Caenorhabditis elegans: one gene and its partners. The protein of the gene in region 3 interacts with the protein of the main gene of each other region in a pairwise test. Each region holds a gene or a part of one and is shown on either strand. Other genes may lie near its edges. The genes, in order: tac-1, ubc-9 and brd-1.

Evidence for each region.
Region 1: the proteins of brd-1 (region 3) and tac-1 interact in a two-hybrid assay, tested with the Caenorhabditis elegans proteins (2 studies listed by BioGRID).
Region 2: the proteins of brd-1 (region 3) and ubc-9 interact in binary tests that used the Caenorhabditis elegans proteins (3 or more experiments, as listed by UniProt).

The regions. Positions count from the first base shown.
Region 1 is NC_003280.10:14,751,167-14,756,611, forward strand, and holds tac-1 (Transforming acid coiled-coil-containing protein 1), read right to left. Parts: upstream 2,712-5,445; 5' UTR 2,710-2,711; coding exon 2,481-2,709; intron 2,418-2,480; coding exon 2,081-2,417; intron 2,029-2,080; coding exon 1,812-2,028; 3' UTR 1,725-1,811; downstream 1-1,724. Other genes in the region: smg-9 (Nonsense-mediated mRNA decay factor SMG9), read right to left, coding at 1-256, 1,093-1,323; Y54E2A.4 (Activating signal cointegrator 1 complex subunit 3), read left to right, coding at 3,503-3,539, 3,599-3,819, 3,867-4,064; Y54E2A.5 (uncharacterized protein), read right to left, coding at 4,813-5,100. UniProt on the Caenorhabditis elegans protein: Involved in microtubule formation, polymerization and assembly, regulating microtubule nucleation and length. Plays a role in pronuclear migration and mitotic and meiotic spindle elongation during early embryogenesis.
Region 2 is NC_003282.8:4,647,378-4,653,204, reverse strand, and holds ubc-9 (SUMO-conjugating enzyme UBC9), read right to left. Parts: upstream 2,162-5,827; 5' UTR 2,147-2,161; coding exon 2,093-2,146; intron 1,968-2,092; coding exon 1,845-1,967; intron 1,711-1,844; coding exon 1,620-1,710; intron 1,575-1,619; coding exon 1,421-1,574; intron 1,365-1,420; coding exon 1,286-1,364; 3' UTR 758-1,285; downstream 1-757. Other genes in the region: F29B9.5 (Thioredoxin domain-containing protein), read right to left, coding at 134-296, 351-496, 551-616, 666-746; F29B9.7 (Pheromone-regulated membrane protein 10), read right to left, coding at 2,602-2,665, 2,713-2,826, 2,928-3,011, 3,061-3,138, 3,205-3,351, 3,401-3,441; F29B9.8 (Serpentine Receptor, class T), read right to left, coding at 3,709-3,920, 3,966-4,104, 4,153-4,315, 4,544-4,684, 4,733-4,792, 4,847-4,912, 4,969-5,182, 5,369-5,519. UniProt on the Caenorhabditis elegans protein: Accepts the ubiquitin-like protein smo-1 from the aos-1-uba-2 E1 complex and catalyzes its covalent attachment to other proteins with the help of an E3 ligase such as gei-17.
Region 3 is NC_003281.10:6,883,841-6,892,687, forward strand, and holds brd-1 (BRCA1-associated RING domain protein 1), read right to left. Parts: upstream 5,665-8,847; 5' UTR 5,656-5,664; coding exon 5,594-5,655; intron 5,551-5,593; coding exon 5,491-5,550; intron 5,442-5,490; coding exon 5,273-5,441; intron 5,230-5,272; coding exon 5,054-5,229; intron 5,046-5,053; exon of another isoform or gene 4,963-5,045; intron 4,842-4,962; exon of another isoform or gene 4,751-4,841; intron 4,737-4,750; coding exon 4,677-4,736; intron 4,629-4,676; coding exon 4,451-4,628; intron 4,398-4,450; coding exon 4,089-4,397; intron 3,964-4,088; exon of another isoform or gene 3,876-3,963; intron 3,795-3,875; coding exon 3,581-3,794; intron 3,539-3,580; coding exon 3,338-3,538; intron 3,286-3,337; coding exon 3,188-3,285; intron 3,146-3,187; coding exon 3,030-3,145; intron 2,078-3,029; coding exon 1,918-2,077; intron 1,869-1,917; coding exon 1,808-1,868; intron 1,759-1,807; coding exon 1,616-1,758; intron 1,537-1,615; coding exon 1,435-1,536; 3' UTR 1,367-1,434; downstream 1-1,366. Other genes in the region: med-2 (GATA-type domain-containing protein), read left to right, coding at 663-1,187; K04C2.2 (DNA polymerase V), read left to right, coding at 5,935-6,036, 6,089-6,280, 6,327-6,527, 6,584-6,775, 6,820-6,907, 6,955-7,145, 8,244-8,420, 8,467-8,631 and 1 more; K04C2.5 (INSulin related), read right to left, coding at 7,204-7,289, 7,343-7,462, 7,644-7,764. UniProt on the Caenorhabditis elegans protein: Constituent of the CeBCD complex that possesses E3 ubiquitin-protein ligase activity.

The DNA of each region.
Region 1 (5,445 bases), on a different chromosome or scaffold from region 3:
GGCCTTCCATAATCGAAAAACTGTACATTGGCTGACAATCCAAGAAAATTTGATGATTTACAATATAAATATCGATTTGAATTGTTTGATGTCGTGATTGTTCGTTGGCTTCTCGAGAAACTGGCCGAAAAACGTATTCCCTGTACATTTGACGTGAATTATTCCCTGCCAACATGCTCAGCAATGTGGATTTTCCGGCGCCCTGCGGCCCGATCGCAGAGATAACGTTGAAGTTGGGGCTCGATGTGAGGAGATCCTGGAAAAATTACAAATGCGCTCCACGGTCAACTCCACCCCCGAATAATGGGTCTCGTTAGTTGTTTGGCGGCGAAACCGTAATTTTAAAAATTTTCAAGTTTTTCGTTTTTTTGTTTTTGAACTTTTTCAAGCTATTTTTCGTAATTTTTTTGTCAATTTTCAAGGATTTTTCGACCTTTTTTTGTCGATTTTCAAGCATTTTTTGTAATGTTTTTTTCAATTTTCTAGCAATTTTTGTAATTTTTTTGTGTCAATGTTCAAGTAGTTTTCGTGCTTCTTTCTTCAATTTTCAAGCATTTATCGTGTTTTTTTTTACATTTTCAAGAATTTTTTTGTAATTTTTTGTCAATTTTCAAGAATTTTTCGTGTTTTTTGTTTAACATTTTCAAGCAATTTTTGTAATTTTTTTTGTCAATTTTCAAGCATTTTTCGTTTTTTTCGTCGTCTTCTGTTTTTTTAATGTGTTGAAATTTTTTGTTGAAATTATAAATGATAAATGCTTGAAAACTGTCAAAAGGGACGAAAAATGCTTAAAAAATTGACAAAAAATACGAAAAATGCTTTAAAATTAGCAAGAAGCACAAAAAACTTAAGAAATTTGACAAAAAATGCTTCAAAATTGAGAAAAAACACAAAAAATGCTTCAAAATTGAGAAAAAGTACGAAAAATGCTTGAACATTTTTCAAATTAATTTTTAAAATTTTGGAAGCATTTGAATTTACGAGCAAACCCTAACGAGACCCATAGTTCGGTGGAGCGCGTTTTCACGTCTCCAATTTCAAGAAGCCATTTTTCTGCGTCTCCATAATAAATTATTAAAATAAAAAACACACTGAAATCGCATCGGAAATCTCTCCGAAATCCGTCAAAAATCGCACAGACTCCTTCATCGCTTTTTGCGATGGCTCGATGACCGTAGCGGCGGTAGGCGCCACGTCATCGGCCACCGGACGTGTTTTGATGGCGATTTTCGGTGCTCCATGAGTTGGGCTCGCTGTGGAGGGTCGGGCAGCGCCTCCTGCAGATGATGGCCGAGATGTTTTCAGAATTTCCACTTTTTTCATCTGGAAAATTGCAAGATTTTAATAGAAATTTTGAAAGTTTTGCATACATTTTAATCAAAAAATTCGCTCAAAATCCATGCGGCAGTCTGAAAAGAGGTGTGCGCCTTTAAAGATTACTGTAGGAATTTTATTGACTTTTATTACAAAAACCTCGTAACAACGCATAAATTGTTTGGAAAAACAAGTGAGAACTAAAAAAATCAAAACAAATTCGGCCTGGAAATTACAGTACACTTTAAAGGCGCACACATGCTTGCATTTGGCAAATGTTTTTCGTGTCGAGACCGGGCGCTGTATCTTTGGCGCGAAAATTTAGAAGATTGTAGTTTTTCTCGGTAAAATACTGAAACGAAGCCTTTTGTACTTGTTTCTCATACAAATAATCTGGAAAACAAATAAATAAGCTGAAAAATTCATGTACAATTAGAAAATATAAGGCGGAAAGCGAAAAGGCGGGGGGAAGAAATATTATATTTTACAGAAATAAATTATGCATCCGTCGAAATAACGGACATCCCATCGGAAACGTCGACATCATTCAGAAGTTGATCGCAAATCTGTGAGAGCTCCGACACGCGGTTCGTGAGCACCTTGATCTCGTCGTTCTTGCTGGAGAGCTCGATTTCCTGGCGTTTTACACGCAGACGGAGTCCCTTTGTGTTCTCATCGTGGGATCGGAGAAGATCGTCGTACTCCACGGATGCTCTGAATTGAAATATATTCTTACATGTTGCAAATTAAATTTTCTCTCACTCACCTCTCAAGCTCAGAATTCGCATTATCCTTGACGGCGAGGAACTTTGCCTGCCACTCGTCAACTTCGGCGGCGGCGAGCTTCAGCTTGTCCCTCGCGTCCTCGTACTCGCCGCGGATGTCGTTGGCGGCTTCGCGAACCGTGTTGAACGAGGCGAACAGTGTCGCGTAGTTGGCGTGGAGCTTGTCGGCTTCGGCACGGGCGGCATCTCGATCTTTCAGCGCTTTTTCGAGCTCCTCGCTTGATGCCCCGCCGCCTCCGATGCCGTTTCCTGGCGTTGTTCCGTTGCAGCGGCCTTGTGAGATGATTTGGCCGTTTGAGCAGCGACGGACTTCGAATTCTGAAATTAATATGGTTTTATTCCTCTTAAAATCTCTTTTAGCAATTTTTCAAAGCTTCTCACCATCCGAGTGCAAGAGCCGCTCGATCAACTCTGTGAGCGCCTTCGTCGTGTGCTTCATCACAATGATGTCGCCTCTCGTGGCACCGCACAGTGTCTCCACTGAAGAACTGGGCTCCGCGGCTTCTTCAACCTCTGGCTCCTCGTTCTCCGGATGCCCATTTTGCGACCCGTTGAATGGGATGACGACCTCGGTTCCGTCCTCTTTGGTGAAGGTTGTGTTGAGCGACATCTGAAAATCGGATGAATTTAATAGAAAAAACCGACATTTTTCGTGAAAAACGGAGAAAATTAACGATTCTTCAGTTTTCCCGCGTCATCATTTATTTTCGTGGTAGGAAAATTGTTTTGAAGATTAGTATGCGCCTTTAAAACTTCTGTAGTTCAATTTTCTTGTTTTACAAGGCTTTACAAGAGGGTTTCAAAATAATTGAAACAAATTTTTAATTAAAAAAGTCATTTTTTAATTTTTAATTCAAAAAAAATCAGTAAAAACCATAACCAACAACAAAAAAAGCACGAAAAAAGAGTCCACAAGAGTAATCGTGGCGGGAAAATCAATACAAAAATTGGACTGCGCCTTTAAAAAGTACTGTAGAATTTTTTTAAAAACATTTTTTGTTATCTTTCAATTTTCAATGTTTCTCTTCATTTTAAACTATTTTAATGATTAAAAACACATCTTTATTGCGAAAAAAATTAATATAATACACTTTTGCATAAAAAACCGCCAAATAAAAGTGCAGTTGGCCTAGAAAGCGCTAGGTCAGAGAAGGGAAGCGGCCAGGACCTTATTTTGTTCATTTTTATTAATTTTCACCTTAAAACAGAGAAAAAAACAAAAATATTTGGCAATTAAACAAAATAGAAATTAAAAGTAATTAAAACTTAAAACTTCAGAAAAAAATCGATTTTTCAAAAATTGCGAAATTTTGAACAATGTTTGAACATCCTTCTCTCTTGAAAAATATAGTTTTTCATTTTAATTTTAATTCTAATTTTACAGCTGCCAAACTAGGTACAAAATGGATCTTCTCAACTATATCGAACGAATTGGAGATGGTTAGTTAGCTTTTTTTCCATTTTTTTATTAAAAAAATTTTTACCAGATGTTTTTTCAGATCCACCCTCACCATCACGGGTAGCAAGCTTCCACCAGGAAATTCAAATTCGATTTCCATCGGAATTTCTAGAATGGTCGAATTGTGAAGCTGAACAAGAAGGTTTTTCAGAAGCTCCAGAAGCTCTTTCCCTACCCCAAGTGCCTTCTACCTCGGGCTCTGGGAGCATTTTTCAGCCGATTGCTGACACATTGCTTATATATTTTCCAGATACGTTTGAGGTTGATTTTCGGCTAAAAAATCAAGTTTCTAACCTATTTTCCTTCAGACAATATCCCAAAACCTTCTACAAATGTTGTGCTCGACACGTTCCGATATGGATCTACAGGGCGAGCTCATCGATCTTCTCGGCGTCGAATTGTTCGAATTAGCCGGAGATATACTCGAAAAACGGAATAAAATAGTTTTCGAGGTGAAGAGCCAGGAGCTGGCGAAAGTTGAGCATGCGAGGCAGGCGAAGGCGAAGGTAATAGTTTTGAAAATTTTAAAAATTTGCTCTAAATGGCAGAATATAACAGTGAAAAAATTTATAAAAATTTTCTAATTTTTTTTTGATTTTTTGAATTTGGTTTTCTGGCTGTTTTTTTTATTTTTTTTCCATTTTTTACAATTTGGAACATAATTTGTCAATTTTTCGGACATTTTTCCACAAAAAACGTTTTTCAAAAATTAAATTATCGATTTTAGGCTAATTTTAGAGTTTCAACAAGTTTTTTACGGAAAAATTTCTGAAAATTTTATAAATTTTGTTTAAAATTGTGACATAACGAAAAATAAAGAAAAACCAGATAAAACAGTCGGAAAACGCAAAAAAGGCCAAAAAGACCAAAAAGCCAAAATCAGGCCAAAAAAAAGGTCAAAAGAACTGATTTTTTTTGAATTCCAGAGTAAAAAAAGTGACGTCACTTTCGCGTTCTCTGACTTTAATTGATTTTTCTTCAATTTTTCAGCAAATTTCATTACGAAAGAATGTCTGAAAAATCCACAAATTATGTTTCAAGTTATAAAACAGAGAAATATCAATTAAAATAGCCGGAAAAACGCAAAAATGTCGAAAATGACGTCACTCGCTTTGCGCGGGAATTTAAAATTTAATAATATTTCTGTTTAGCCCTTTTTATTTTTGTTTTCAAAATATAAAAAATCATGACAAAAATTTAGAAAAAAAAAATTAAAAAACAACAAAAAAGATTTTCGCAAAAAAAAGCTCATATTTATTCGACCTGAATACAGTTCTTAAAAAACGAGATTGCCAACGCCAAAATGATGACCAACGAGGCTGAATATCCGATTCCTCCCTGAACACAACGATCATTGCAAATCACGAATTCGGACAATGTTCTGTGACGTTTCACATAGCGAATTGCGGTTGTATTCGTTTTTCCTCCGGATTTTCTAATCGATGCACCATGAGCTCCATTCGTTTTCGGTGGCTTGATTTCTACAAATTCCTGGAAGTTGACGGCTGCCGAGGTGTCACATCCGATGGCGTTTCGCACTTTCTGAATGAGAAAAGCTGTGAGAAATTGGTTAAACTAGGCGAATTTTCTACAAATTGCTTTATTAGACTTGGAATTGTCTAAAACGCCGAATCTCCTAATGAATCTTCTTGAAAACTTCTCAAAAAAAAAAAGTTATGACGGCTCAAAAAAAATGACATAAAATTCGTTAAAATTTGAAATTTGACTTGTCAGCGGCTGGAAACTAACTTTTTTGAAATGGTCGTCTAATTTTGGATGTATAAGTTAATTAACTTGCGTTTTCAACTCGATTTAGGTACATTTAAGGTCTTCTGGCCTTTCAAACCGAGTTGAAAACGCATGATAATTATTGTACACCCAAAATTA
Region 2 (5,827 bases), on a different chromosome or scaffold from region 3:
GCGGGCAAACCTAGAGAAAAACTATTAAAATATAAATATTTACGTGATAATTAATTATTTATTAGTAGGAAAAATCTATTTAAAAAATTACTAGATAAATGTTTAAATAAATGGAAAATAATTATATACATTTTCACTTGTTGCATGCTGCCTCCCACGCAGCGAAGAGTCCCTGTGGGTCGGCTTTTCCCTTGTCGACGACCTCCGACTTCCCATCCACAACGACCATCTTGCCGGCTGCGTTGATCACTCGGAGCACTGGGATCGTCTTGATCTCGAACTTTGATTGATATCGTCTGAAAATTATGATTTATTTTTGAGACTCTGAAATTAAAAATGATAAATCTCACGTCAAAATGTCGTCTCCATACTTGACGCAGAGCCAATCGCCGTGCTTCTCGGTGAAGTTCTCTTCAAGATCAGCCTTTGATCTATCACGAGAGAAGAAAACCACTTCGATGGGCTTTCCAGCCTTCTTCAGATGATGGTAGAAGCGCTGAAGGGTGTGGAAACTCATTGGAAAATCGGAAAATCTAGATTCAGCACTCACAACTAGCTTCGGAGTGAACTGCTTACACGGTGGACACCATCCCGCGGAAAAATAAAGAGCAACAACCTAAATGTCATATTCTAAAATCTTTCACTACACACTAATATTTCGCCACCTTGCCCTTCAGAGCTTCTTCGGCAGGAACTTCAGTCAAGTCTTGCTTCAGAAGCATCACACCTTTCATGAATTCGGACATTGTTGGAGAATCTGACATGAACAGTTCATGGTTGAGTTGCAAAATACAAATAAGTTGAGGGAAAAAAAATATAATCAAGTCCATTTAGAAAATTGGAATACACGGGATTTGTCAACAATTAAATTGTGCTCCTGATTTTAAGAGAATTGGGGGGAAGAGAAAAGAGATGGAAAACAGAACGGGATAAAAAGAAAGATGAAGATCAAAATGAGTAAGAATGATGAGGAATAGTCTTTTGAAAGAATAAAGACTACTCAGCCCATGGACCAGTGGAAAATGATTGGGTTTGCGTGCACACGAAATTTGGAAAAAGTCATCGAAATGTTCTAGCTCTCGAATTTCATCAACCACGAAATGAAAAACCAGGCACGACAAAGCTTTTGGTTAGATTGAAATAAAAGATATCAGAAAAGTTGCTTCGGTGCTCGAATTTCGAGTTGTGTCAACAATCGTTGCCGCATACAGAAATAGTTAACTAAATGAAATGAGGATGGGAGGAAAAAGGAGAATAGAATAGACGACTACCACGAAGCAAGCATCTACTCGAGCATTTGCTTCTGGACGAGTTCGGCAGCATACTTCACAGCTTCCTTCTTCACTCGCTTCTCATATTCAGCCCTGTAATAAATTCATTTGTGTATTTTTTTTATAATATTCAGATAAAAAAAACTCACCTATTCTGACAGTAGATCTGATAGGCTTCAGCCTGAGCTGGATCTTCAATATTTGGATGGTTCAGCAAATCTTGAATTCCAATGAGAAGTTGCTTGATTGAGATTGACGGCTTCCAATCCTTGTTTTCATCCAGAAGAGATAAGCACACGGTACCTGAATTCAATTAATTAATTATAACTATTGGACTGCAATAATAACCTGATGGGTACACATTTGGATGGAAGAGTGGTGGCTCGAACTTGCACTTTGGTGGCGTTGACGGGAAATCGTCCTTGAAGAGCATCCGAATCTGAAAGAAAATTGAATTAGATTTATAAATATCGTTGTATTCCAAATAGCAGTTTTTGAGAGAAACAGTTCACGAATATTATAGCTCAATAAATTAACGAAAAATGATAATTTCCGAATTCTAGCTTCACATACTCTGTATAATCCGCCTTCCCAAATCGTATCCTTTCTCCCTGGGATTGCACATTCCCAATTGAAGAGGTTCAATGTTCCGTCGGCGTTCTTGACTGGTTTGGCAATGAATCCGAATGGATGATCCTGAAAATGTTGAGTTTTGGGCATGAAAACAAACTATTTTTCGATAATTTTTAGAATTTAACCGATTTAAAGCGGTTTTGTAATACAAATCGCCCCGACTTGCCATGTAATGATAAAATTCTCACCTTTCGCCAGTGTTTCCTTTCTTCCGCGAGGCGTCCTGCAGCAATTCCCGACATTTTTGTTCGGTTACACTGAAAAATATCAAATTTGTAAAAGAGAAGTGGACAGTGAAGTTTTAGGCACAACGAGAAAAGAAGAGAGAGGTAAACAAACGAAACAGCGTGTTCGTGACACTTGTCAGAACTATTTTAGATTTTTCAAACAGAAATCCGATCGATAAGAAAGAGAAATTTCTCGAAAAAGTTCAAAAATAGGATATCGCGCCAAAAAACGAAAAGGGGGGCGAGCACCGCCCGTATTATCGATCAATAAATTGCATAGTGCGGCGCGCGATTTCGCAATGGTGTCGCACACGAAAACTAATTTCGACAGAATGCAACAGAAAATTACAAAACGGTTCGCAGTTTTCGCGCGCACACAAAAGAATATTCAAGAAAATTATAAATTCGAAGGGCGCGAAATTCAAATAATATTTATTCGCGGCAAAATGTGTGAGAATGAGAGTGCCCAGTCAGTCATCCTTCTTCAAAACCTCTCCTTCCTTGCGCTCTTTCGTCGGCGAACGACTTCCGGGGCTGCAAAAATGATAACGTTTTCAAAAAATAAAAAACTTTTTTCTCACTCATCAGGCGTTCTCTCCATGTCCGGATTGTTCGAAGGTCCCGTGCATCCATAATAGTACGGCTTGTATCTTCCTCCGAACAACCAGTCCATGTCGTATAACGGAATGTATTCTCTGAATTAGAAAGTTGGAAATTTAATTATTTTAAGTGTCAAAATATATGCCTATATATAGGATATATATACAATAGGTGATTTTCTAGAATTCAGATGTACCTGTGATCTCTCATAACGGTCGAATAGTTGATTGTTGCTTTCAGATTTGGACTCAAAAGTCCACCGTATATCCTATTCCATTCTCTAGAAAATGTTCCAATTAGATCTATTTTTCTTGATGAACAAAGCCAACCTAGTTACTAGAATGATCACCAAAGAGAGAGTAGAACCGAAAAATGGAAAACTACGAACTAGAATTGAAGCTGCGAATCTGGAATAAAATTTTATTTTGGTTTTCCATTATTGTTTAATTGTAGAAAATAGCTAGTGAGCTCACAGAGAACAAATCGCAGAGCTCAAGAAAAGCAACGATGACAAAAACAATTGATTAGGTGGTTCGTCTGTTGCTGTACTCTTTGTAGTTGACTCACTACCATCAAGCAATTCCGTAGTGTAATCAGCCATATTTGTATGCACAAATTTGCTTCAAAGAGTCAAAAATTTAAATTTATAAATAAAAATTAAAAACTCACTTGTCTTCCGGAAACTCTATAACACCACTTTTCGAACTCATCGTAAAAATAAGAATGATTTAAATTTGAAAAAAATTTATTCATTTTTTAATTGTAAGGCAAGGCACATATGGAACGTGTAAAACGTGTACTATTTATCACAATTTCTGAGAGAGCGATATTTCCGATTTGAAAAAAAACAAAACAAAGAAAAAACGAAGGAGCACCGGGCTTCTGAGGGGGCGCCCAATGGCACAGGGGTTTAGAATTATGGCGCAAAAAAGAAGAGTTGGAAGCAATAATTACAGAAAAAAAATAAAAGATCGTTCCTAATGTCTTCTACAACACGGGAAGAAGAATTTGACAAAACGACGGCGGTATGGGTTGAGGAGGATCAGAGCCAGAATTAGGAAGATAAAGGGTCTGAGCAAGAAGAAGGTCAGATGAAGTGGGAACATCTCGGAAGCAAAGTGCATTGGGAGGTACCAGTTGAAGCCGAGAAGCTGACCGACGTCAAAAGCGATGGTCAATCCGGACCAGACTGAAAGGATCTAAGGTTTCACTAGGTCTGCTAACTGTTACTTACTGAGATAAGGAGCCGTAAGCACATGAACACAGATACTGAATAATAGGAACAAGAACAAACGGAGTTTGCTGTTTCTCACGTGCTCATATGGAGAAGTCTTCGTCACCTCGTCCTTTCTTCTGCAGAATAAGAAGAGACTCTGAAATCAATTCTATGCTTCTAGTACTGAAAGACATCTGAAACTCACAGCGAACATCTGGGTGACGATGCCGAAGGAGACAATACACGCAGTGAGTCTGATGCTGGAAATGATGCTGAGATAAGCCCATTGTGGAATTTGGTAGATCGAGATGAGAGTGTCAAAGGCGGTAAAGATTACCGGAGTGATTTGAGCCTTGAAGAAGACACTGCTGAAAATTGTTTTTTTTTAAATTGTTTTTTTTATTTGTAAGAAAAGGGGATTAAGTGCGTTATAAAGAAGTTTGACTGCTTTTGAGTGGAGGAGAAGTGTGCCAGAAAGATGGAGAAGCACACCAGCAAGCTGGGATGTGCTCCAGAAAACTGGTAAAAATTGCGACTGCCTAGGCATGCCTAAGCGCCTGTACATCGTGGAAGCTTTCCTAGCAAAACAAACCTACCCAATCGGCTCGTAAGTGATCTGCTCTGGACGTGCAATCGCCTTGTGAGCGAAGAAAAAGACCGTGTAAGTCGAAAAGAGCAGACTCCAGAAGATAAAATCACCGGCGACATAGGATACGATCGAGAAGAGTTGATCCTTCCTGGAATCTATGTCATTAAAATCTTTTAGATCTACTCAACGATCTTACGTGTACACCTGGTAAGTTGTGTACTTTTGAAGGATCTCTCCGAACCCGTCGACGGCATACCTAAAAAATAGAAAACTGGTTGTATGACAAATGTAAAATCTAAAATTAGCTCACTTCTGCCAATCAGTCACAGTGTCGTTCGCTCGTGGTGAAAGGTTTAGGTATTGCCAGTCAAACTGTCTGAAAACTAGTTGAATAATAATGAATATGTTCAAAGAAATGCTTCTCAAACTCACTGAGCCCCAAAGATCGCTGTACTGGCGTGAATCTCGGTGAAGATATCAAATCCAGCTTCGATAAACAGTGGGATGATAAGGAAGAGAACGAAGAACTTGAAGAAGTCCTTACGAATCGTACAGGATAAAGTGAAGATTAGGATAATGAGCAGGCATTTGAAGGCGAGGAGTCCAATGCGGAATGGGTTAGGTTGGTAGCCGATAAGGACGGGGGCTGAAAATTGAATAGTTAGAAAAAACTTTGTTGAAAGTTTCTGGCTTCCAGTTCTTGAATAACGCGGTCAACAATACTGTTGGTATAAAACTTGCACGTCAAATTCGATGCATCGAGCTCGTACAGAGGACTATTTTCCGTTAAGAAAAACACAGCGTCGGCAAAACTAGGTAATCTAAAACTTACCCAATGTGGTTGTGGTTGTACTAATCACATCTGTGATCATCGTGGTTGCTGTCTCATTCGACAAAAGTCCTGGATCCATCTCCGAATTTGTGAGAAGAGTTTGCACCTCCTCAGGCATCGACCCACTGAAATCGAGTGTCTCTTCTGACATTCTGAAATTGTATTGGTTAGGAATTAAGCTGATCAAGTCGTAGGGAAAAATAAGATTGAAAAAAATATAGGTTTGTCAAAAAATAATGAGGTTATCGGAGCATAGAACTTTTAGAAAGCAGGGTCGCTATGGAAACCTTTGGAAAACAGGTGACAAGTTTTTGAAAAACAAGCGCAAAAGGCATAGATTTTATTAACTTTTTTTTCAATTGAGAAAAGTTACAGGTACTTGAAGTCAGAACAAGGGGCGACGACAGTTCAACTTGTTATTCAAAAACCGTTCAAAAAACTACTGGTCTGGCCAAACTT
Region 3 (8,847 bases):
TTGTTTAGTTGTTATATCATATTTTTATACTTGTATAAAACTTTTGTTAGTGTGAGAAAATAAACATGCCAAAGTACGTAAAACTGTTAGAATTCACTAATATTCCCAAATTCGAAGAGCATTTTAGATGATTATAAAAATCTCATTATGACAACGAACAAATTTAGTCTTGCTGTAGGTATGAAGCAGGCGTAGGCCCTCTTGAAAACATTTACGCAATTTAATTTTAAAAAAACCTTAGCACTTCATTCATATACAAAATTGTTTTGGAAAATTTATTTATCCATTCAATTCTCAATTTCCAAGTAATCACGCAACACTTGAGGCACGTTGATATGATTCCTTTTCTCCGAGTAAAAGCCATGCTGTGTTCCGCCCGAAAACAAATACATAAAAGGTTTATATTGTAGACGTTGGCTGAAACATGTCCTGATTTCACCTGCTTTCCTAGAGAAATGTTAACATCTCCACCTATTGCACAATGAGCCCATCTTCACCTACATTATCTGATAATAGGTAAAGAAGGACCACCTTGCACCTCTGTCATCATGATGATTTTTAGAGCATTATCATCATTTCTAGTGGGTGTGGTCTACAGTAAAAGAGCCCAAAGAATATCAGTTTGAGTCAGTATTCATACTTTATTCCTTCTCTCTATCACTATGGCTTATCCGTACCCAGTTTTCAATGCTGAAAATGTCTTTGACAATACCCAGCAACAAGTTGGATTCTATGATTATTCAACTCCATTCAATGGTACATACTCCTTCACTACTGACTATTCTTATTATAATAACTACTATGACTATGTCAATACTTATGCTTCTTATTATCCAACTGCAATGGATTCTTCATCTTTAAATATTTCACCAACTACTGGAAGTCCTAATTCTTCCCATTTCACCACGTTTACTCATTTTTCTACTCCATCTACATCTCCATCTACCTCTACTCAAAGTTCAACTCCACCGAGCAATTCTGATAATAAGAAGTCATTTCAATGCTCAAATTGTTCAGTAACTGAAACAATTCGTTGGAGGAATATTCGATCAAAGGAAGGAATTCAATGTAATGCTTGTTTTATTTATCAACGGAAATATAATGAGACTCGTCCAGTCACTGCCGTTAACAAATATCAAAAAAGAAAATTAAAGGTACAGGAAACGAATGGTGTAGATTCTTCTTAATGTAAATTGTATCATTGTAAATTGTATAACTCAATTGTAATTTTCTTGTTTTAAGCCGGTAAATTGTTTTTAATTAATATGATCTCATAACTTATATTTATATCTTGTTCTCGATTTTAATTACATCATAACTTTAATTGCATGGATTGGATGCCGTTGTGTATAAAATAACACTTCAAAAAATAATCATTCATATTGCAATTTTACAATAGAAACGCAAAAGAAAATATTTTAAAACGGAAAATGGTTAATGTGGTGGTGTTGTGATGGAGCATCCAAGAATCGCCTCTATTAACCACTGCTCGCTGACAAGATTGTACTTTGTGCAGTCGCGGAATTTGTCTCCTATCTGTAAAGAGAAATAAAAATGTCACCAAACTGAAACTACCGAATCCATAATAACAGGAAAACTCCTTCGTTAAACTTACATCATGTGTCAAGCTGTAGAGCACAAAGTTTGGTTTCAAGTTGGCATTATGGTACGGCGGTGGATCTTTTTCGTCAATAATGGGCTCCCTCGCTGCAGCTTGACCACCGGCAGATCGAATAATTTCAAAAAGAGCTGGGCGATCTGAAATTGAAAATTGAAAAAATTAAAATACTGTAAATTAGAATCGTACCGAGGAAGTTATACTTTGGCTTTGGAATGAAAAATTTGCAACCGGCGAACAATTTTGGTTGCTGAAAAATTTGGTTGTATTTTTTTCTTTAGTGGAAATCAAATCCGTACCATTTTAGTGATTGTCTTCTTCCATTGTTCAATAGTATTTTCAAATACTTCACCTTCCATCCATCTAACTTTCTGAACCATATAAGAACGATCATCATCGACTTTCGATGGATCAATAATGCACGCTCTCAGCCAATCTCGACTAACTATCATTCCCGATCTGAAAGTATGAATTTCCGCTTTGAAATTTCATATTTTCACATAGATTTTTTTGGCTCTCATACTGCACCCTTGCGATTGTTTGCAATTTTCCCATGGGATCAGTCTATAACTAGACAGGGAAACGCATTTTATAATACAATCGAGCCACTGTGAAACTGAAATGAAGGTGTTTCTGGTGAGTTATATACTACTTTTGCTAATATTCAAAACTAATTTTGCAGTGTTTCCTTCTTCTTCTTCTTTCAATTTATGTTAATGCAAAGAAAGCAGAATGTCGAACTGATTCGGATTGCTCGGATAATAGGCTTTGTGTTTATGGACAATGTCTTTTTTCAAATCATGCAAGTGGTGGAGTTGTTATCACTGACGAAAATGCTGATGAACCTTGTACTTTTGACTGTCCAGTTGGAAAAAAATGTGTGGCAGGAGCCTGTGTTCGTGCCTAATTATCTTTTTATCTCCAATAAATATGTAATGCATTGCGACCTGATTTGAAGGAATGATAGAAAATAGACCATAATTACCGAATATAACTGTTAAAAAATTATTTCAGCTTTGGAAAAATAATAAGTTCTGATTAGTTTTGAACTCTCGTGCAAATGAATGGCTAAATTCGAACGCTTTTCGTGATTTTTGCTTGATGTTCCGAAGATTGTCAGATTTTCATAAATTTTTTAAGCAAAAAAAAAGATGAATAAATGTGAAATTATCGACTTTCAATTCAATTTTGAAGTTTCAGCGAATTTCTTTCTGATTATCATGCGTTTTCTTACGAACAAATGCCTTCCATTTATTTGCGCGAGAATTTAAAAATAAGTAGCCCATTTTTTGAAAAATTTCGAAAAAATTAATTTCTTAACAGCTATAGTCTGTCATTACGGTCTATTTTCTGACATTAAAAATCCCAAAATGACTATCTCCCACTTTTTAGGATAATTTTAAAAACCTACTTTATGATAGCTTTTAAAATTTCTCCAATATGCTCCTTGTTAATATTGAGCACACGAGTTTTCAAATCAACGGTGACTACCACATGCGTCGGAGAATCCATATCAGCAGGAACTATCTGAATAAATTTATTTTATTTTTAAAAATTAATTGTTTTTACATTGATTTTTCCGGGAAGTTTTCGTTTTTCAGATTCAGTGAGCATCTTCTCATCTATGAGTTGAACGAAATGAAGACGAGATTTTGGAGGGGCGACGACTGAAAATTCAATTTTTATCACGAAGAATAAAATTGTCAAAAAATTTCTTACCAGGCTGTAAAACTCTCTGTTCAGTCTTGAATTTTTCGATTATTTTCCTAATTTTCGGATCACTTTTAGCCATTTCTTCGACAGTTTTTCCAGCAATATTTCGAATTTTGATGCTGGCACCTTTCGATAAAAGATATTCAACAATTTGAGTATTTTGACGGCGAACAGCCTCGTGAAGCGTTGTTTCTAATGTTGAGCCGCCTGAATTCTTCGTCAAGAAAGTTGATAGAAGTTGTTTCTTACATGAAGCATTAATAACTGCACCCGCTTCAACAAGTATCTTAACAGCTTCCAATGAGCTATTCTCAACTGCCACGTAAAGTGGTGTCTTTCCGTCTTCTTTCTCATTTACGCACGTTCCTGCCTCTACAGCACTTCGAAGTTGAGGAATACGATTATTGCGAATTGAATTGACCAGGACAGCTTCACCACGACGAGTACCATAAGAACTGCGACGCTGAACATTTAAAAAATTGCAAAAAGTTTGCGAAAATGTGAAAATTGGAATGAAGGCGTAGAGATCAAGTTCAATTTTCAAAAAAAAAAGTCAAGCCACCTAGGGGACTCGAACCCCTGACCTTAAGATTAAAAGTCTCACGCTCTACCAACTGAGCTAAGGAGGCCATGCGTGCTGTGATGCAAAGACTTGTTAAGTAAGGGACAGAGGCGCAGACAACAAGATAATGTGGACGTTGAGCGTGACAGAGTAGAAAGACGAACGCCCGAAAACTCTTTTATTGAAGTCACTCACTTGCTCTGATTTCACACTCATCGACTTCTCTCCAAAACTCATCGGTGATTGAGATCGTCGTTCGATTTTATCGGATTTAATCGAATTTTTACGACTTCTAGACGTCGATGGTACTTCTTCTGGTTCTTCAGGTTCCAATTTTGGTTGTTTCTTGGCGCTCGCACTCATTGAAGCTTGCCGTTTTGTGAGAGGAATCGCTTTCGAGAAAATATCTTCTTCGATAATTTCGGCTTTAACTGGATTACTGCTACTTCCGAAAGCTTGAGCATACGTTGCAACACCAGTTGCTGCTGGAGCAGTTGAGCGACGCTGAAGAATTTCCGTTAAAGTTCTGAAGCGTCTTTAAAGTGAAATTGTCATACCTCAATAAACGGCGTCAGTAAATCATTTTGATGAGTTCTCTGCGGAACTTGCGATGCAAAAAGATCAACTACAGGCGCAGCCGGTTCATTTTTGACGGAAGTTTTCAGTATCGATGACCTTTTGGGTTTTCTCTCATGAACACTGACAGTTGAAGGGCGTTTTGTCGAATTACGCGTTCTAAAAGTAAATAAAATTCAATTAATTGAAGCAATGTAACAAACTCACGGAGAAGCTTCTTTGCTGTAGTCGTGGAATATATCCAATTCTGGAGAGTTTGAATTTTCCCTGAATTTACTGGGAAAATATGAAAAAAAGTTCTGCGTTCGGGGGGAATCGAACCCCCGTCGAATGCTTGGAAGGCATCCATGCTGACCATTACACCACGAACGCGGCATGGGAAACCAGCTATTAAATGAAGAGACATTTCTACTTGAAGCCACCAAATAGACCGCATCAGGTTTGTAGAAGAAGCATGACGGGAATCGTTTTCTCGGAAAGATATCCCCGATATGTCGCGTTCGTGGTGTAATGGTCAGCATGGATGCCTTCCAAGCATTCGACGGGGGTTCGATTCCCCCCGAACGCAGATTTTTTCGACTTACCGGTTTTCATCTTTACACATCAAATCATCATCCTCTTCACCAAGTTGTCCCATCTCGTCTGGCATATGAGCTTGCGTCTCCAGGAATTTCTCTACGGCATCAGCTGGAGTTTTTTCTTTGTTAAAAATGTTTTGTGTACAGGCAAACTCTGCTTGAGTTAGAGATGTTGTTCCGACCTAAATGAGAATTTAATTTTCGAGCTTTTCACCATTGACTTACTTTCTGTAAAAGGTCGTTTAGTTCAGACAAAGTATCAAAGCACGTTTTCAGCATATGAGCTTCTGTGATTTTGGATGTGTCTAGTGGGAAAGCACAACTCGGACACATGTGTCGAGCCACTGAAGAGCGTTTTCCAGACGGTTTCTGTTGAAATGTGGCGATACATTCCCTGAACATAAACTGAAGTTATTGACAATTTATTAGGTTGCAATACCTACCAGCAATAAGCATGTTTGCAAGATGATCCGAGATATTGCAAGTCTCCCCTCGGTTTTTTGCTGAAATTTTATTTAAGAGGCAAAATCTTGTACAACAACTTACCATTTAACACACTCGATAGCTGTTCGAAACGTTTCCAATGCTTTTTTAGTGTTTTCAAACATTATTTGACGCTGAAACAATAATTAAATCAAACAGGAAAAGAATAAAATTCGAAAATCGCACTTGTTTGTTTGCGCGTCAGGTGTGGTGCGTGCGCACAGAATACATTTTATTTTACGAACAAAATATTTTACTTCTATTTCTTTTTCTTTCATTAAACTAAAATTACATTTATTTTTTGTGTTTTATAGAAAAATACAGTTTACTTGGTCTGGAAAATTCACGAGAATGATCCTCTCGTCAATTTATTCTCTTTTTAATTATAATTTTAAGTTTTAAGCATGAGACCGCCAAGTGAATTACTCGATATTATTTCAAAGCTTGCTGAGCTCGATCCATTAGTCAGAAAAGGAGCAGTTAGACAGCTTTCAAGCAAACAAGAGGTAGGAAAAAAGTAGCTGAAATAAATGCCTAATTAAAGTGTTATTTTTTTAGGAATTATCCGATAACGAGCTCAACACATATGTGATTGAACGTCTTATTTCTGGATGTGCTTCAGCTCGTGCTGCTGTTCGTTTGGGATATACAACCGCTTTGGGTACTATTTTAATGACAAAAGCAGGCGAATCATGGGAACTCGACAAAATATTGGCCGTTGCAGATAAAAAGATGGACCTGGCAGAAAAGGTTGGGATTGTAAGTTCCTTTATTTGTACTAAATGTTTCGATTCAGACTGTTGGTACCGGACATGCAATTGGACATTATCTTATTCTTGTCACATATTGTCAAACCAGAAAACTCAAAGAAGCAGAAGCTACAAAAATTGTTGAGCATTCGAAGAAAATCAGAGACTTTGCTCCAAGCTTGGCATTTTCACAGATTAACCTTCTATGCAGTTTGGCTACAAAGACAAAAGAAAGTGTTTTCCAAAAGGTAAATCAATTTACTGTTTGAACAAAAACAAATCTATATTAATTTTTAAATTTCAGAGTGTATCCCCAGCCATCGAAATGAATTTGGAAGGTCTCAGCTCTCAGTTCACACCGGAAAATGTCTACCTGGCACTTCGCCTTCGTAATTCTCATTCAACAGTGGTTGCAAAATACGCAAAGTTTGTAAAGAAAGACGGATCTATTCAATTTTCTGATGATCAGTATCCTAAAATTTTGGCTGCTTTAAAGGTTAGTTTTCTATTTTAAAATTTTTATAAATACTTTATTTTCAGCGCTGTGACTTCGCCACAGTTCAAGTATTTCTTCCACTTCTCATCAAAGCATCAGTTGAATCATCTGGTTTTGATAAAATGTACCTGAGTAAGTTATACTTTTGAAAAGTTTTTTTTATAAATTCTCATTTTCAGAAGTTCTCGAGCCATGGGCCCTTTCAAGCAACGAGACGAAAGTTTTCGATAGAATTCTCACGATTGTCACTCAATTCTTTGATTTTGGAGGCGATGTGAAATCAATTGTTGTAGTATTTACTAAAGAAGTTTTGAATCGAATGGAGACCGCTACACGTGGAAAAGGACAATTCAGATTGATGAGTAAAAAGGTAATATTCAAGAGTCTTTATTGTTCAAATTTACAAAAATTAGTGAGATAGAAATTATCTAAAGGTAAACTGGCTTTTGTGATCGAATATGTCTCTGAATTTGTTTGATTGCTTTTCGGAGAAGAGCCTGGCAATCTTCCGGTACTGAAAAAAGATTTTTTAAAACTCAAGCTTTCTTCTAAACATCGAAAACATACATTTCTTGCATTGTTGTGTAAGTTCCTCATTTTCCACACAATATTCGGATGTTATTTCACACTCGATAGAACATAAATCGAGTACAGGAAGCCAGACAGCATCAGAAAATGGATCACCGCCTGTAAAAAAAGTGTTGGAACAATATTTAATTTCTTGTATCTTAAAAATGTATGCTGGTAAATTATGAAGAATTAATTCAGAAATCGTTTACAACATTTCTGAAATATACTATAAGATTATTCTTTTGTGTTATTACATAATACAGATTAAATTTGAATTTAAATTGATTTTCTAACTTACATAATTTAGAGTTATGAAACAAAAACTGTGAAACCGATTCGTACTGAATCCGCCTTTTAGACGCTTGTCCATTGATTGCCGCGATCAGAAAAATTCCGATAATAATTGAGCATTTTGTCATTTTGAGTTCCAAATTTAGTATTGCCAAAGTGATGAAAAACTAATACGTAGTTCAACAAAAAGATGAGAAATAGATGAAAGAAAGAAGAAAAAGAAGAAGCATTGTTCATTGAATACCACAATGAACTGTGTAAAGTAACGGGATTCTGGGTGTAATACAGATAGTTCTTTCTATAAGATGATGACACATTAACGACGACCTCATTATATCCATACATATTGTTTTATTTGGATTACGAGTTAGATTTAGAATGTTAGATTTATGAGAGATTGCAGCGATATTTGAGAGACAGGAATGTTGAAAATTGATTATCATTCGAACTTTTTAACACGAAAATATTGAATAATATTATTAAAAGTATACATTCGAACAAAGATTTTAAACTAAAGAAAATTTCGATACTGGCTTAGCTAGGAAATTAAATTTACTTTTAACAACAAAAAAAAAACACATTTCAAAATAATATCTTCATTTTACAGGTGGATGACTTCGCTGCATTCATCCAATCCAAACTTTCTGAACTTCGTGATGAAGAAGCCTATACTGCTCTGAAAGAGCTCGAAAAGTGCGGAAATGTGGACAAGGCCTGTGGTACCGGCCTTACGACCGCCCTACTTTCAAATCTTGGAAAGAAGCAGATCTCTGTGTGGATTAAGGTAGAAAAAGAACTGACGGTTCAATTTCAGCATATAGATTTTTCAGGAAAATCTCTCCAACCAAGATGAAGTTCGGAAGATCGTCTCTGCATTCAGTAACTGGGATGAAAAATCACGAATCACAGTTCTCTCTGCTCTTTTGTCGCAGAAGGCAACTGAAACCAGTCAATCTGTTGTTACCAGCATTATTGATTCACTTTTCTATGTCAAGGTTTGTTCATTGTTTGTTTGAAGTTGAAGTAAAAAATTATTCCAGACTCGTGCTGGAGAGTTCGCATCGATTCAAATTTCTGAGAAAAACGAAGAGGTTCTCCGTCAACTTGTTGTTGCTGTTCAAGGAGAAGAAGAAGTAAAGAAAGCTGAGAAATCGATTGGAAAATCCAAACTTCGCAAGAAGTGAGAATTTAATATTAATTCATTTTCAAAG